Saccharomyces cerevisiae S288C: one gene and its partner. Changing the gene in region 2 together with the main gene of any one other region gives a genetic interaction. Each region holds a gene or a part of one and is shown on either strand. Other genes may lie near its edges.

Region 1 (9,086 bases), on a different chromosome or scaffold from region 2:
TACTACACATTCCATTGTTGGTGGTACAATTGGCGCTGGGATTGCAGCCGGTGGAGCTAACGGTGTCGTTTGGGGTTGGAGTGGTGTTTCTCAAATTATTGCGTCATGGTTCATTGCTCCGATTTTGGCAGGCGCGATCGCAGCTATAGTTTTTTCAATTTCTAGGTTTTCTGTCCTTGAAGTTAAGTCTTTGGAAAGATCGATTAAGAATGCTTTACTGCTGGTTGGTGTTTTAGTATTCGCCACTTTCTCTATCTTAACAATGTTGATTGTCTGGAAGGGTTCTCCAAACCTACACTTGGACGATTTATCTGAAACTGAAACTGCCGTATCTATTGTTCTCACAGGTGCAATTGCTTCGATCGTTTACTTCATCTTTTTCTACCCATTCTACAGAAGAAAAGTTTTGGACCAAGATTGGACACTAAAGTTGATTGATATTTTCAGAGGTCCATCTTTTTACTTTAAGTCCACTGATGATATCCCACCAATGCCAGAAGGCCATCAATTAACAATCGATTATTACGAGGGCAGAAGAAATCTTGGAACAACTGTTTCTGTTGAAGACGAAGAAAATAAGGCAGCGAGTAATTCTAATGATTCCGTCAAAAACAAAGAAGACATCCAGGAAGTGGACCTGGTTAGAACTGAAACTGAACCAGAAACAAAGTTGTCAACGAAACAATATTGGTGGTCATTATTAAAGCAAGGACCTAAAAAATGGCCCTTATTGTTCTGGTTAGTAATCTCTCATGGTTGGACTCAAGACGTCATTCATGCTCAAGTTAATGATAGAGATATGTTATCTGGTGACCTGAAAGGAATGTACGAAAGATCTAAATTTTACGACAATAGAGTAGAATATATCTATTCGGTTCTCCAAGCCATTACTGCAGCCACTATGTCTTTTGCTCATGGAGCTAATGACGTTGCCAACGCTACTGGTCCTTTGTCTGCTGTGTATGTGATCTGGAAAACTAACACTATTGGGGCAAAGTCCGAAGTTCCCGTGTGGGTTCTGGCTTATGGTGGTGTTGCCTTAGTTATTGGTTGCTGGACTTATGGTTACAATATTATCAAAAATCTAGGTAATAAGATGATTTTGCAGTCGCCATCAAGAGGCTTTTCAATTGAACTAGCTGTTGCTATTACTACTGTCATGGCTACCCAATTAGGTATTCCTACCTCAACAACCCAGATCGCCGTTGGTGGTATTGTCGCTGTTGGTTTATGTAACAAGGATCTCAAATCAGTTAATTGGAGAATGGTAGCCTGGTGTTATTCTGGTTGGTTTTTAACTTTACCAATTGCTGGTTTGATTGCCGGTATCATAAATGGTATCATTTTGAATGCTCCTCGCTTTGGTGTGGAATACCAAATGACATAATCATAATGTGTTTCGGTTATGAATACAGTTTTACAACATTAGGTAGAACTTTTATTGCTCAGTGACTTTAAAGTTAAAACATTTCTAATTTAAAACCTTAAAGATGCATTAATTTTTTTCTAATTTATCAGTTGATCTGCAATTACCTGGCATGGCTATGTGTATTTTTTTTTTTTATGAATTCCATCATATTAAATAGAAAACTAAACTAAATAATAAATAGAGTATTACAGAGTCGTCAAAAAAAAAAAAGAAAAGAAAAAAGAAAATCTACAATCAAATAGCAGCAGTACCTGGACTAAATCTTTGCATAACGCAGAAGTATAGCTACAAAAATTACAGGGAGGATACTAACTAGTTCCCCTAAACCCGCATACTCTGGTGGAATATGAAAGTCAACAAAGGCACCAGCCGCCAAAAGGATAGCAAATAAGTTGTAAGTAAAACTCCATAAGAAATTCAATTTGACCCTAAACATGGCCTTTTGACTTACAGTTATCATAGTCAAAATATTGTTGAGCTTTGGCTTTAACATAACTACATCAGCAGCTAGCTTGGCAACCTCACTTCCCTCATTGATATGAACTCCAATCGTTGCTTGAGTCAAACCAATTGCGTCGTTTGTTCCGTCACCGCAAAAAACAACAACCGGTCTTTTTGACTGCGAAGAACTATCGCAATTTCTTCCTTCGACAATATCCTTAATATATTCACTCTTTTCTGCAGGCGTTGCGTGAGAACGAATATTGGAGCTTTCAATTCCAAGACGGGCTGCCATAGAACGAACGGCTCCATCGTCATCCCCTGATAAAATGTGTAGTGAAATCCCTCTTTGGCGTAACAAGTTAATAGTGGAGACAGCATCTGCCCGTAAAGAGTCCTCTAATGCATAAACTGCAGTGACTGAACCATTAACACTAAAACAGAATACAGAATATCCTTGTTCAAGGGCTTTTCGAACGTCAGGATCATTGTTATGACCAAGCCAACGACAGTTCCCTCCTTGTAACTTCAAACCAGAGTATGATGTTCCTTCTACCCGCTTACCAGTCACAGCTTTTGTATTAGAAACATTTTGAGCAGAAACACCTTTTTCTTTGAGATAGGATGCTATTGCCATGGAAACTGGGTGTTTTATTCCTTCAGTTAATCCAAGCAACAAAGATTGAGAATTATGACGATCACCCCTAACAGTTTCATGTACTACAGTAAGTTTTCCTTCAGTTAGGGTACCCGTTTTATCGAAGACAACATGCGAAGTGTTGTGAGCAACTTCTATACTCTCTGCTGATTTGAAGATTACCCCTCTTTTCGCAGCGACGCCACTTGCAATAACAAATACGATAGGAACGGCAAGTCCAATCACGCAGGGACACGAAACGATAAGTACCGTAATGGCATATATAATGGCCTGAATTACGGCATCGGAGCGGGATTGCTTTTCCACACGGATTCCAACCGCTATCCAAACGCAAAAGGTGACGACAGTGATTCCAATGATAGTTGGCACGAAATAACTTGCAATTTTATCAGCGATATTTTGGATCTTTGGCTTAGTTAATTTTGCTTCATCAACCATCGTGGCTATGGTACTAATAGTATTGTTCCCTGGAAGCTTGCTCAGCTTCACAAACAAAGTACCAGTGCCATTCACCGATCCTGCAACAACAATTGATTGACACTTTTTCGGGACTGGCATAGATTCACCTGTGATTAACGCTTCGTCGACTTCAGAAGACCCAGAAATGACTGTTCCATCAGTTGGGATTCTTGAATCAGGTAAAACCTTAAAAATATCGCCATATTGGAGAAGTCTAATATTAATTTCCGTCTCTTTACCAGTTTTATCCACCAGAATAGCAGAAGAGGCCTGTAAGGAACGTACTGATATTGACTTTACAGCCCTATGTCTAGCTAGTTCACTCACAAAGCGACCAACCATGATGAGAGTTACAAGCAAAGAGCTGGTTTCAAAAAACTGCTCCGTAGATAACGGGCGTCCAACAACGAAATATCCAAATGATACAATCGAAAATATGTAGGCAGCGCTAGTGCTTAAAACTATTAGTAGATCCATTTCAATGAGCCTGGAAAATATCAAACTCTTCAAGGCATTTAAGTAAAACGGTCCTGCAATAACAAATTGAATAATAGTTGCTAGCACCATTGACGCGGAGATAGTGGAAATTTTTTCACGAAGCTGTGGAGCCCAAGCCATCACGAGAATCGGGATCGTCAATATTATGGATAAAGCGGTCGTGCAGCCTACACGAACTAAATGCTTCCTTCCCACTTCAATGGTTGGATGACAACTGAATGGAGCAATACTAACAGGCACGCTCCATCCTTCATTGACAAGATCTCTGGCACCTATAACCTTTGGGTCAAAGTAAATACGAATGATATTTCTCTCAACAATTTTCAGCTCTGTGACACCTTGTGGCCATTCCTCATTAATAAAATCTTTTGCTGCATAAGGAACAACAACATCTATAGTTGAACCATGATTTGAAATCTGTTCGTACTTGAATTCAGTAGTTTTGCTCAAGTGCTTGATAACATCCTTGACAGATCCCTGAGCAAGATCCAGATTAAATTCAGCTTGCGATAATATTAAACTGGTCTTCAAACCGTGAACACATTTGAGCGCGCCAAATGATTTCTTAAGTTTTGATTCACAACCAGTACAGGACATTCCTGAAACACTAAGAACAATGTGCTCGGTACCGGTAGATCCTGCCTCAAGATTAAGATGATTTTCAATTGGTTCCATTGATACGATTCTTGAAATTTCACTCGAAGAGTGTCCAGAAATAGTTGAGGTAACAGCACAATCCTTCATTTTAGTGCAACAACTTTTAGAACAAACAAAATCAGCATGGCCATTGTCATTGCTCAACCTTTCTTTGTCTCCATGGGTCTTTTTCTTTGTTAAACATCCAGAACTGTTGCGGTAGGAGTATTTTGTCTTTTTAGAAGCACCCTCCCCGCTACAAAAACGCACCTTTGGGAGACAACAAGATTCTTTTCCCAAAGTACGCAAATAGTTACAGATACAACCTAAATTTTTCAAAATTGAGGAGTAACGATTGTACATTCTAGAGTACTGTTCGCTGAAGAACTTCTCGCTTAAACTGTCGGTAGAGCTACTCCCAGAAATTCCAACATTGGTGCTACCTTTAAAAGTCCTCTTTTCACAGCTACGAGATGCAATCCGCTCAACACATGAAATGTTGCAGCACTCAGGCTTACTGGAAACCTCAATTTTCTGTCTGCTAACTTTACAACTTCTTTTCTTGAGTGTAGAGTCACTTGATTCGATGCAAAGCCTACCCTTCCCTGTGTGTTGGTTGGAATTGGTATTGCAGCGAGTTGTCTCTCTAATATCATGAATAGATTGCAGACCTTCAGATTTGCTTGGAACAACTTCAAAGCTGGTCAGCAATTGTTCTTTAGAAGATACAGCTTCGCAGCTGCCTGTAACTTCCTCGACCATCACTGAAGAATCTCTAACGCAGCATCCATCAACACAGGATTCATTGGTGTGGTCACCACCTGTTTGAGCATCGCCGCAACAGCTGTCCACATCCAAGCCAGTCTCAGTGTCGTTCACTTTCTCAGCACAACATTCATCTACACGGGATTCATTGGTGTGATCACCACCGGTTTCAGCATCGTCTACATCTAACCCAGCCTTAGTCCTATTCTCGCCATGATGGCATATCTGCTCAGTCTCACTCAAACATTCCTGAGGAGTAATTTTGGGCCGATTGGTACAGTCTCGCTGGGAGACCAATCCCAGATTGTCATTAGCATGCATTTCTATGGATCTACGATGACACTCGCCTCTATTATCTTGCATAGCATCTATTGATATGTTCTCGCTATTTACCACTCCATACTCGCCATCGCTGGTACCTAAACCGGAGAAGAGTTTTTCCGGCTTCATCGTTATCAGCAGCTTTGGGCTCTTTCATTGTATAAATCCTGGAAGCATCTCGAAAATATCTTGCTTTTATATTTATAATTGCACCTTATTTATGCCAAGTGTAGGCTTTTCATGCGATTTTAAAGAAAAATTCCTTGTTGGCGCCTAAATTTTGATTACCTAACCCATACATTCGTTCAACCTTATATTTTTAGAAAGGCCTGTTATCAGATCATTTTCCGAAAACTCTTCAGAACCAATTTCAAAAAGACAACTATTTGACACTTTGTTGGTTTTCTTCAAAACAGTGATGGATTCATCCGCTCGAGGAGCTAAAATGGGGAATGAATTCCTTCCAAATAGAAATAGTACTTACTTCATTGTATTGTTGGAAAATATAAATCGATATTAACAATAAGAAAATTATTCCATTATTGATTTATGAGATTAAAATCACACAGCCTACATACAACTCAATAACGTTATCTGCCTTGCAAAACTGCCTCTGTATATATATCGATGATCTTCAAAATATACTATTTTAAGAAGTGTTTTAATTGAAGGATTAAAGTACAGGGTAACTTTTTAAAATTCATTGTATTGCTAAAATAGTATTTTTCTTTTCAGATTCATAACAAAACATAATTTCTTCCACATTAGGAGAGACAAGCCGTCCAAACTCTTTCCGCCTAAAAACCATGAAATAAATTCAAAAAAAATTAGGAAAATGTTGCTCTATCTAGCATAAGCTTAATACTTAAATGCATTTTTATTTTTATTTTTGTATTTTCAAAGGACATTTGTAGAAAATAGGCTCAAGCTCAAGTTAACTTCTAGACCATGTCTTTTCAGCGCCTTAAACTACTGAAAACGGCCCTTTTCGTGTACTAATGCTTTCAGGAAATTATAAAATTTATTTTTACTTTCGCCATTCAACATACTCAAAATAATAAATATTCCAGCTATTTGATGGTAATCTACATTAATAACACAATTATCTTTTCATGTATAACTAAAAACAGGGGGGGTAATTAAAGTACTTACTATCTACTACACTAAACGTCCCATTTAGAAAAATCGGGTATATCGATATGAAAAAACGGTAAATTTGTCCCAGTTGCAGCACATAATGTTTCATAGTTACTGTAAGATGTGCTTATACGGCTGTCTTCATCAGTATAATCCACATCATCCTTCAAAACTTTTGCAACGTGAAAACTAGAATGGCCAGCGATAATAGAGTCGTCACTATATTCCTCATTTGTAGTTCCGAATTTAACACTCAAAAGACTTCTTTTGATCCATGGAGATATAATTCCGGCAAAATGGAATTCGACTTGTCTATCCGCATACCTATTCACAGCTTTTCTCAGATCAACCAGGCTTTGAACAGCGGTTGAATCCACTTGAGCAACTTGGGAAAAATCCAGGCAGACGACTTTCAGTAGCGGCTTTTCATATGTTTCTCCGTTACTGCTTCCATTCGATATCGGTAGGTCACTATTCGTTGTTGCTGAATGACGTTTAAATTTAAATAGTGATTTCAAAGAATCTGGCATTTTCCATTCACCAGGATCATTCCATGGACGGTCTGACTTTTTCCTTAAGGTTATAAGTTGGCCTCGCCTTGTTTCTTCCTTAATACGATCAAATATAATGTCATAATGCCTTGAGCAGTTCACGTAAGTAAAGCTATCACCCAAACGATAGACTATGACACCTGGTGGAGGAGGCCGAACTGTGGTATTGATATTCAATTCTCTTGAGTATCCATGATCGAACGGAACCCACTTTACGCTAAACTTATACTCTGGGGCTGGTAAAACCTCAACAGTAGACTTAACCTGTTTATTCAGTTCATTAGGTAATTCATTAGATGATATCACAGCATCAATATCCTCTTGTACTGTTGGGTTCAATACTTCTGCCACCTCAACACGACCAAGGAATTTACCAGCAGGGAAAGCCTGTTTCAATAGTAACATTGCACATGACCAACACATTGCAAAATATATACCATTTTCAATGGATGAAAATACTGTGATGAACACTGTAACGATAAATGAGATACAATCTAACGGGTTGGTCTTCCAGAAGGTCCAGGTGGTTTTGTAAGAAGTCAGCAAATCAGAAACAGCATGAATAATAACCGCCGATAGTGTCGCTTTAGGAATGAAAAAGAAGGCGTCAGTTAAACAATAAAGTGCTAATAGAACGCAACCGCCAGTGAATACCCCAGAAAACGGAGTGCGCACGTTACATTTTGCTTTCAAAGCAGATCTGGAAAATGACCCAGTTGCTGGATATGAGTGAAAAAATGTCCCTATCAAATTTGTCACACCAATCGCAATAAGTTCTTGGTCAGGGACAACCTTGTAGTCGTTAATTCTACCAAAGGATTTTGAAATAGCGATGTGTTCTAACACCAGAACGATAATTGAAGCAGGTATTTCTGAACTCATATTAGATAGCAGACCGTCTGGGATTTTCATAACTCCCACCTCATTTAAGCCCGAGGGAACTGTACCCAGAATACTGATTGGACGGTCTTTTGAAGATTTGTTTCTTGTTATGCTCCACGATATGGCAGTAAAAACTACTATGACGACGGCATTTCTCATAGCTTGTGCATAGAAATAGAAGGATTTCAGTCTATTTGCTACCTTTGGTTGATTTCGATAATATCTATCTGCCAAAGTTATACCAAATGTACCACACCACCATTTCCATACATAGAGGATTACCAACGGAATCAAGCCAAAAACGGCGTCTAACTTTGTGTTTGGTAAATGTTTCAGAGTGTTAATTACAACCTTATACGTTGCTTCTCTGGTATTCACTAATGAGTTGTATCCCATGAGAGCCGGAATTTGACCCCAGATGATGTTAAATGCGGAACCGGTCATGAAGCCAGCAACAGCATTTAGAGAAATAAGTTCCACTAAAAAGCCTAAACGCAGTATACCCAACCCAGTGGCGACAATCCCACAAAGCAAACAAAGGGTAGTTGCAATGATAGGAGCTGTAACTTCTGTCTGGTCTTCGGGATATTTTTTTAGAACTTCAGCAATGACTTTGGCAGTTTGTAGTGACATTACAGCGACCGGACCAATACAAACATCTTTCGATGTGGCAAACAAAGAATATATAAACGCACCAATAAAGGAGGAATACAAACCATATTCAGGAGATAAACTAGCGATTTGTGCGTATGACATAGATTGGGGCACGAGTACGCAGCCAACTGTAATTCCTGCCACTAAATCAGCATAGCCCCACGTAAAGTTATAATGAGGAAACCATTTTATAATAGGAAAAAGAGATACGAGGTAACTTCCTGCCGATTTCGCAGTTAGATTGTTTTTGATAGAATGATCATAGTACTCCTTCAAAGTGACTGTGCTCTCTTCATACGCTGGAATGGAATCGTACAGGACATCTGATAGCTCATTTTTCGTTACCCCAAATTTCTGCTTACTACTATTAACCTTCCAATTTTCCTCATCACCATTGTGAAGTCCGTCTCTGTTTTCTGCCGCCTCAGATTCCCTATATGTGCGGTATTCTGATTCAAATACTTCGATATCAGCATCCTCCTGATTATGCACATATTCAGTCGAGCTCTTACGTGACATATTCTTTCCGAGTATTCTGCAGGGATTTATTTTTATTTTTAAAGCTATTGACCTGGTTTTGAGACGTTAATGTCAGCTAATATACTTTTATATAATCGGTTTCACAATTTTAAATCGAAAATTTTTCTACAATAGA
Region 2 (9,535 bases):
TACATCGCTTGTCAAGTTTACCGCCAAAGAGGATTCTTCATTGATCGATGATGCTACCATTATCAAAACTATTGATTTGTTTTCAACGTTCTGATTAGTATTTTTGTCACTGCCTTTTTCTATTGTTTCTTTTTTTGCATTTCTTATAGTAACATAAAAAACACAGGAAAAAAAACGTCGTTTATTATATCAGGAGTAAAGGATTTCTGCCCAAAATGTCAGGAAAATTACGATATAAAACGTACTATAAGATAACAAGCGGCTGAATAATTTCTGAGGTCAGAACCATAAGGGTACTGAAATACTATGTGCTAGATTTTTTATTTATTTTCTTTTTCTGATTGATTATCGTTTGGTTAAAATCAGTATGATATTATATATGACTTGCTTTATAATATATCAAACCGACATAAAAAATTATCCTACTCAAAAAAGATCATGGTTGTCCCCGCGTTTCACTTCTGTTATACCATGCAAATTTTTATATCAAATGAGTAATTCTTTCATTTCTTTCGGGACCCTTTACGAAGTAGTTGTTATATCTCCACTGGCAAGGCCACGAACTGACAAAAAAGGCATGATATAAATTGTGAGAAATTGTGAGTTAATTTAATAATTATGCGACGAGATGATAGAAAGGTAAAGACGACTTTTTGAGCCGGATCTGTTTACGTCAGTAAATTCTCGCGCCCCAAGACGTTATGAGGCATAAAATTTATTGCGTTCAGTTTTCTAAAGAGCTCACTATCGGTGATAGAAATCTTTCTTTTTTATTATCTTCTTGTCAGTAGTAATGTATAAGCACCAATATTGAAATGTCCAATTTTTTCGGCTCTTCCCAAGAACTTCAAGAGAGCAGTAGTATGGAAGAAAGTATTGTGAATGATACACAAAACGGTTTAAATACTCCAATATTTCAAAATGAAAGAAATTGAAAACCGATTTTGCCATTAATAATGATTGCTTATTATCCTTTAGTGAAGAAGTTTGTATTGAACTTCAAAGCTGATTGAAAAATCATTATATTTGAACACGTCGTGAGAAGACATGTGTCCAAGTGCATAGTTATTTAAGGCTTCTACGCTGCTTTGTCCTTTTATTACACATTATAATGAGTCTTCAAGATATTTGACTCAGTATGTATAAGAGAATGCTTCCATTGAGATAGTAAGATGATACGTATTGTTACAATACTTGATAATAAGATGCGTTAAAATATTAGTTAAAATGTTAGCTAAAGTTGTACAATTATTCAAGTCGGTGGAACAATAACACTCATTTTATATTTAATTTGTAGGCTGGTTAAATTTAATAACACTTCTTAGGGCTCTATTTTTATGAACAGGACATCATATTATGTAGGCAATAACTTCCGAACTTCGTAATTGATTTAATTGATAATACGACCTATCGTGAATATGCTAAAAGTTCTTTTCGAGGATATAGAGATTCTCGAAGAGAGAGAGATATTCTAAATAACAATATACATATATATATATATATATATATATATATATATTCCTTTCTTGCTTCTTTTTTGTACATTATGTAACTATATTTCTTTCTCATTCCAAATATTCAAATGTACAGGTATTTAATACCGCCTCAATTGATTTAGCGGTATTTTATTTTCTAACAGCTTAGTTATAATACTAAATATACAAAATATATTAGAAGCTCTTTCTCAAGGATATAGGAACCTGCCAAGGAAACCCATATTTCCACATAATGTTACTATTATTATTTCTTCTATTTTTTATGTTGTCATTCATTATCCTATTACATTATTAAATCTTGCATTTCAGCTTCCATTAAATCAGATGACTGTTTTCAATCCTTTTTTATCTTTCTACTCCGTCTACCACAATATAATAGCTTATGAATACTCGCCGGTAGATTATAGTCGATTCTTATTCCAATAGTTTGTTCCTCCAATGACGTTATAACTAATCATAAAGCAATATAGCTAAATTAGGTACCTAATCTTAAAAGATTTTCAGATTTAAACTAATCCTTGTTGCCTATCTTAATTTGAATATTTCTGTATTCTCGCTTAAAAAACATGATGCTGATTATATCTGTTAGTTCAGGTATTCTTTTTACTCCTATATTCTTCTCAGTCATGACGAAGTGTATGTTGTTTTACGGGTACGAGTAATACCGGGGTGTCTTGAAAATCCCAATATAAACAGTCAATGGAAGTAACCAGTTGTCAGAACGGATTATCAGCTTTTCATGGGATGTTACTTATCCTATATATTATATAAAATATGGATCATATTAATTGGTGGAAGCGCCGAACCTCGGATCTAAATTAATTGCTCAGGCGTCTATACGTTTGGGTGGTTAAGCTAAGGGAGGCGAAGTTATATGTCATGTTGCTCATTCTGTTCGTTTTGTTATAAGGTTGTTTCATATGAACGTTTTAGGATGATGTATTGTCATACTGACGTGTACCACTCTGAGAAACAACAAAATAACGGTTTACTGCTTCTATGGCCAAGTTGGTAAGGCGCCACACTAGTAATGTGGAGATCATCGGTTCAAATCCGATTGGAAGCATTTTTTGTCGTGCACTTTTGCTATATAAATATTTTTTGAGCGTCAGCGACAAGTATCTTTTTTTTTGTTGTACAAAGGACTCTTTCAATTGTTTAGTCAGTCATTGGTGACTTGTAAATAATTAGATTAATTAAAATTGCTATTAAGTAGAAAGTAGAAATATATTTAAAAATGGTATTAGTTCTGTACAGGCTTCTTCCCTCTGTGTGGAATTACTTTGGTGATAATTTTAAAGACCTTTGGCCATATTCTTGCCACGTAAGTTAAGTAGTAACCAGCAAACATCGCAAAGAAATTGAAACCAACAAAAGCCCATTCAATACCAAAGTTCCTCCAAACGTGGTCGTAACTCATATTCTCATTTTTCAGGAAGTCATCGCCAACAGTGTACGTACAATAAGCGCAGACTGTGAAAGTGTTCTTATTATGTAGATAGCCACCGTATTCTTCTATGAAAGCTTCCATAAATTGGCCACAAGATTGCCCCGTCAGAGGTTGACCAGGAACCATCTCCGACATGTCACACTTGATTTCCCAGTTATGCAATAGAATACTAACAAAAGTTTCCACAAAATATGTGTATGGCGAAACCCTGTACATGAATTTCCAAAAAGTTGGAAACAAAGAGTATGGTTGCATAACACCACAGAATGATGCTGTAAAACTGTAAATAAACGCAACAAAAACAGCAGCAGTTTGTAGATTAGGAGCAGTATAGATCAGCCATAAACCAAGAGTCGAGTAATAAGCAGCGAAAAGCATATAGTTTAAAAAGAAAACACCGGCACTCCAGCCAGCGTTGTTAAATCCACAAGAGAAAAAGGCACAGACGAAAAATAGTGTGGAACTTGTAAGTGCCAGTGGTAGTTCAATAATTGACTGTGACAAAAGAAGAACAGTCCAGTGATAAGTGTTAGATCTCGCCTCCCTAGCAACATAAACTTCCTTTGTTTTCAAGGCTTTGTCCTGAATTTGATTGATCAATGGAGATGAAACACAAAGAGCCATGAAACAGAAGAAGATACTATCCTGCAAACCGATAATATTATGCTTAATGTGCCAAAATGAGAAACCGATAAACAAACCAGCGCCACCATTCAAACAGTACTTGGCCATGACATAAGTCATGTCTCTTTTCGTACAAATATATTGTCTTCTTGTAATAAGAGCTAATTGCTGTAAGTAGGAAGGCTGCTTCCACAATGAGGTTGTGTAATCAACACCAGACGCACGAGCATCATCTTCTAACCTAGCTGTTTCTTTTTTAACTAGTTTCTTTTCTACAGAAGATTCCCATAATGCACTCCAATCTATGGCTTCTTTGTTCAAAGTAAGAGCTTCCTCCGCTGTATCTTTCCCTGCCGAGGAGTTACTGTTACCTACTGCATCAATGACGAAATCTGCAGGGTTATCATGTTCTTTATCGTAAACGAGCGTGTTGTCATGAGACATGAAATAGCCGCAGGCATCGTCCATTGGTCCAAAGAAGACACATTCACCACCCCTTTTCAATAAGAAAATATTGTCAAAATGGCTGATGACACTTTTACTAGGCTGATGAATGGTACAAAAAATAGCCTGACCCTGTAAAGAAAGTTGTTTTAAAAATTTGACGATTGTTAGTGCAGCCTCAGCGTCCAGCCCAGAGGTTGGTTCGTCTAGGAATAATAAAAGTGAAGGCTTAGTAACAAGTTCAACACCGATAGATAAAAGCTTCCTTTGAGTCGGGTTTAAATCAGCGACTAAAATGTCAGATGGCAATTTCAGTAAATTTGAAACAGTGTCTAAGTATGCCCTGTCACCATCACCTCTCAAAAGACATGATATTTCCAGAGATTCTTTCACAGACAGCAAATCTAGATGCAAATCCTGTTGTTGAACAAAACCAATACTTCTCTTAAACGCGTCCTCATCTGTCAATGGGTGGCCATCGATCAAAATTTCGCCGCTAACAACACCTGTCTCAACTCTTTGTGATAAGACATTCAGCAAAGTAGTTTTACCTGCACCGGACTCACCCATTAAGGCGGTCAAACCAGAACTGATGAAACCGGATGCATTATTAATCAGTTTCTTTGTACCAACTGTGTAGTTGATATTTTTCCAAGAGATGATATGCTTTTGAGTCTCTACTGTTTCCGTGATAGGTTGCTCGTTATAATCGTTTAGAGCCATTTCCTTATTTGAGGGTGATATCTGATATGGAACAGCCGACAGGCTAGACGAGGAAGACGAAACGGAGTGCGACTTTGGGATACCAACATACTTACTGTCATTTCTTGCAGAGGACCTGGTACCTCTCTTTTTATTCAAAAATGGTAGCCATCTTGTCAAACGACTATTGTTGCGCTCTATTTCATCCTTATTGAAATAAGGCTTAATATATTGAGATGCAAACAGAGTACAGGCAATAAAGAATACTAGGAAACCAATGATAATACCAAAGTTTCTCCACACATGATGATACGTGTAGGATAAACCTTGCTTCAAGTAATCACGGCCTCTAACGTAATCATTACCCAGAGTAGCACCTTGCCAAGCACAGGCCTTATGGGAAAATGGAACATCGTTGTAAGTAGGACCTCTTGGAACAATTGTCTCACTACAATCCAGCTTCAAATTGTAAAGCTCATTAGACAGTATTGCCTCCATAGCGTACATTGCAGGATTTAGATAAGCAATCCATACAAACCAAGGATGCATATTTTTCAGGTAGATGACGTAAGAAGCATACATTGCTATAGCTAGTAGCAGAATACCTGCAAATAAATTTGCAACTGAAATGGTTGGAGCAACTAGTGTCGTCAAAGCGAATAAGGACACCATACAGAAATTGTAAAAGGAAAGGAACAGGAGGAAAATGAAAAATCTTGCAGCCTTGTATTGCAGGTGAGCAAGGAAGTATAGGATGATACTGAATACAATTACCAAACAAAGTTTAAAGCAGTAGTCGAACACTGTTGTTGAAAGGGTTTCAACCCAGTTAGTATAGAAGTGAAGTTGGGATTGCTTTTTAACGACGGGTTGTCTTTGGAAGGCAATAGGCATATCTGCAAGAGAAAGAAAAGTGAAGAAAAGAATGGAGAAAAAGGTTAAAGAACCTCTTGAGTATGAACCAATGGTAGTCAACGGAATTTCGTAAAACAGTGAACCAATGACCAAAGATTGAATAACGACAGAAATAAATTGTGCCGTCATATAAGCTTTATCACCCAAACTTCGTTGAAAAGCTCTTTTTGTGCAAAATAATAATTGTTTCTTCAACGGAATATTAAAAATAGGTGAGACATCAGAGGGATCCACTTCCTTAATGGAGTCATCAATTGAAGACCCCTGGATTTGCTGCTTTATATTTCTATAGTACGAAGAATGTTTCCATTGATCATATAAATCGAAATCAGAATTATAAGTATACTTAGTGACTTCCCCTGTTGCGGTTTTGAGAACGCTAGCAGATGATGAATTTGATAAATTCCCCAAATTTTTATTTTTGAACTGAAAATTTAAGATAGAGGTCAGATATTCAATAATACAATCGTTAGGATCTTTCTCAATACCTAAAGTGTCACGAAAATAAGTCAAACACTCATCGACCGTACCATAGAAAAGCTGGTAGGAATCGGATAGCATAAGAATCTTGTCAAACTTATCAACAATTTTATCACTTGCCTGGGAAATTCTGACTAAGTTTACAGAACGAGTAGCTTTTGCCATTTTTCTAAGAATTTCCAAAAAATCGAGAGCTGTGGCGGAATCTAAACCTTTAGTAGAATTATCCCATAGATAAACGGAACCATTAGCAATAAACGTTTCAATAATAGAAATACGTTTACGCTCACCACCAGAAACACCACGGAAAAAATCATTTCCTACAATAGTTTTCAATACATGAGACAGGCCGAATTCTCTTAGAAGTTCATTTCTTATTTGATCGCGCTCACCTTTTGGAATATCGAACTTACAACTCAAGGCAAAATCAATTGTTTGTTCTACCGTTAGAAATGGGAAATGCACATCTTGTTCATTATTGTAAATGATTTGGTGGGGACATTTTTCGGAAAAGCTCTTAAACTCATTATTTTTAAATTTAATCGAGCCTGGAGGAGAGTATGACAAACTAGTTTTACCATGAAACAAAGTCTTAAATAGAGTGGATGTGGGATAACCCAAAACCAAAACCATTTCACCAGCCTCTGCTTGGAAGGTTATGTCATTTAGTTGATTTGCCGGATTCGGCATGCTGTCCTCAGCGTCATAACTCTTTTTTGACTCGCCTTGAGCATCGGCGCCAAATTGAATGTTCGCGCCATTGAAAGTGAGTGACCCGTCAGCAACGGGAGTGAAGTACTTTGAAATTGACATATTAATTCCAGAAAAAGCAGACTGCAAGGACTGAGAGATGAATTACAGCAGTCTTTACTATTCAGCTAATGCCTTCTCAAGTATGTTTTTTTTTTTTTCAATATGGATTTTTATGTCCAATAACTATTCAATAACTGCTTCACAGAAACGGTACTAAGGCTAGGGAAAACTTTACTTTTAGAACTGTTCAGTGCCTTAGAAATAAGGCAAAGGCACCGTCTTTATATTCGAGTTGGAAAATAAGAGTAGAAAGGACACACATTTGTGTTTTGCTCTGTCACATCGTACAGGAGGTAAGCTGCTGTGGCTGTAGTGACACTGAAAGGGACGCTGCTGATGAGCTCGTTTACAGTTCATCTAGCCTGTATATGGAGTGATCTTCAGGCACTCTCTTTGAAACTACCGTAGTTAATCGAAAAAAGGACCTGGAACGACAGCGCGTAAAAAGAAACGAGGAGCAGCAGTGCCTATAAGAGAATTCTCACTTTTCTATTGTTTAGTAAAAAGGTGTGCAATCCCCTTTGCCTACGAAGGCACATGACAATCACGTAAGCAAACGACGCTCTCTATTGTAAACCGTTCGTATGGCTTACTTTGCTCCATAAAGAGGAGGAAAGCTACAAATAAAATAACCTGTATGTACATATTACTCTATATGATTTAAGCTAATGACAAGGGGATATATGCAGTCTAATATTAGAACACGGTTTTTGCCCCTATGTTTCTTTGGATGTACTACTGCACCTGTATGCATCTGGCCTTTCGTTTATTGAGGGCAACTATGAGGGCAGAAGCTTTTGTGAAAGTTATATAAAGAAGAACTATCACAGAGGAAGGGAGGGACAATATCTATAGCGACAACGATTACGCAACGTTTCCTCCATATTGTAGTGATAAGTCAATGAACAGTGAATCCTAATTGATATGAAGTTATTGTTACTACAGTATGAATAAAGTTATGTTGAATAACATTGCTTTCTTTTTGATCGCTTCCTGAAATTGGTGCAATGGGAGCGAATTCCAAGTAACTCGTATAATTTTTTTTTTTCATAGGCCTGCGTGCTCTTCAACGTCAGGCATTAAAAAAAAAGAAACTGAAAACAAGTCAAAACAAAATTCGACCAACAACTACGAATCAAATTAAAACAAAACTTAGTCAACAACTGTAGTGCGTTGGCTGCTAATAATACGTTCTTGTAAGTATAAAAAGCAGACCTTCACCGCTTAATTGCTTTCTAATCATTTCTCACTTCTCCTTAATTAATTAATAAATTTGAAAACTGGTATCCTGTGCCAAAACATTTTCAATCAGTAGGTAAATAACTGTCCTTTGGTGAGGAAAAGTTAACTGCGCGTAACTATTTATCAACTATCCCTATATTTGTAACGTCAAATTACAAAATCGTATTTTAGTAGTCTTGCAAATGGTTTTCTGTTCCCATTATAGCAAAGACACCGGGTGACCATACTTTTTTGTAAACAAGAAACTTTTATTTTTAAAATCAAGTTCTCTGACTGTCAACACTAATGTATGCAGACACGACAAACAATTCATGTTTTGCGTACAAATAGTTCCTACTAAGTTCGGCATACATAATGTAGGCGTAATCTCTAAAAGTAAAGGAGAACTTGAACGATACTAAAATAATGTAATGTTGGAAAAAAATAAGGTATCAAATCTAACCATTTCACAAGGTACTCAAAAAAGATCCTATGTGAGTTAACAAGAAACTTAAAACAATCCATTACCTGCCTAGTATAATTTTTTTAGACCAGAATATGACTCCATAAAACGTGAAGCAGCAGCTAGAAAAACGACGCCTCGGCGGAGTTTGCGTTTAACTCTCATGTGCGGCCAAACAGGTGCGTAAGAGCTGTGACTATTTAATTATGTAATATTTACGGAAAAAGGAGTGGACAAAAAAGGCGTGAATTTTACTCCACTGGCGGTAGCCGCCTATAAAGAAATTGATAAGAGGCGTGCCTCTTATGCGATCTTCGGACCAACAACAAAGCACACAATAGCGCAAAGTATACACAATAGAGAGCCTGTAGGAAAGCAGTGGGGAATGTCTTGGCTTTTTTTATGCCCAGAAAAAAATAAACGTAACGTTGGGGAACTACGCGCAATCATATTTCATGGCCTCCCCACGGTGCTTAGAGCAGCGCGTTGCCTACAGAAACATCTTTATAAAATCTTGGCCGGCCAAGATTCCCAAACGAGACTCACATTTCCCAAAAAAGACATTTCTGTCCAAAAGTAGAAGGCAAGAAAACCCTGGAGGAATCATAGGCAAAGAAAGAAAAGAAGAAGTTCATCTTTAAAACTACCTTTCAAGCCTTTATTCGTTCCTCGTAAAGGACACACGAAAAAAATAAACAGTACCTTGCAGAAGGAGTGCAGAGTTAGGTCGCAGGGAATCCTTGAAAGCCAAGAGTTTTTTTTCCGTAATGATCTCCCAAAGCAACCATCAACATTGTGGTGCAAAGTTTAGTGTAAGATGTTCTACTGAACTATCTTAATAGCTGAGCATCATGTGAGTAAACGAGTAAGCAAGAAAACAACAAAGTAATGTTCAACTTTCGTAACTACGGAAAATAATATATAAGT

The links.
Region 1: mutations in AUS1 (region 2) and PCA1 together harm fitness less than expected from each alone (positive genetic interaction), as found in Saccharomyces cerevisiae (2 studies listed by BioGRID).

What each region holds. Positions count from the first base shown.
Region 1 is NC_001134.8:789,099-798,184, reverse strand, and holds PCA1 (cation-transporting P-type ATPase PCA1), read right to left. Parts: upstream 5,337-9,086; coding exon 1,686-5,336; downstream 1-1,685. Other genes in the region: PHO89 (Pho89p), read left to right, coding at 1-1,387; SUL1 (sulfate permease), read right to left, coding at 6,371-8,950.
Region 2 is NC_001147.6:347,068-356,602, reverse strand, and holds AUS1 (ATP-binding cassette sterol transporter AUS1), read right to left. Parts: upstream 6,925-9,535; coding exon 2,740-6,924; downstream 1-2,739. Other genes in the region: YOR012W (uncharacterized protein), read right to left, coding at 1-60; YOR011W-A (uncharacterized protein), read right to left, coding at 745-951. UniProt on the Saccharomyces cerevisiae protein: Transporter involved in the uptake of sterol.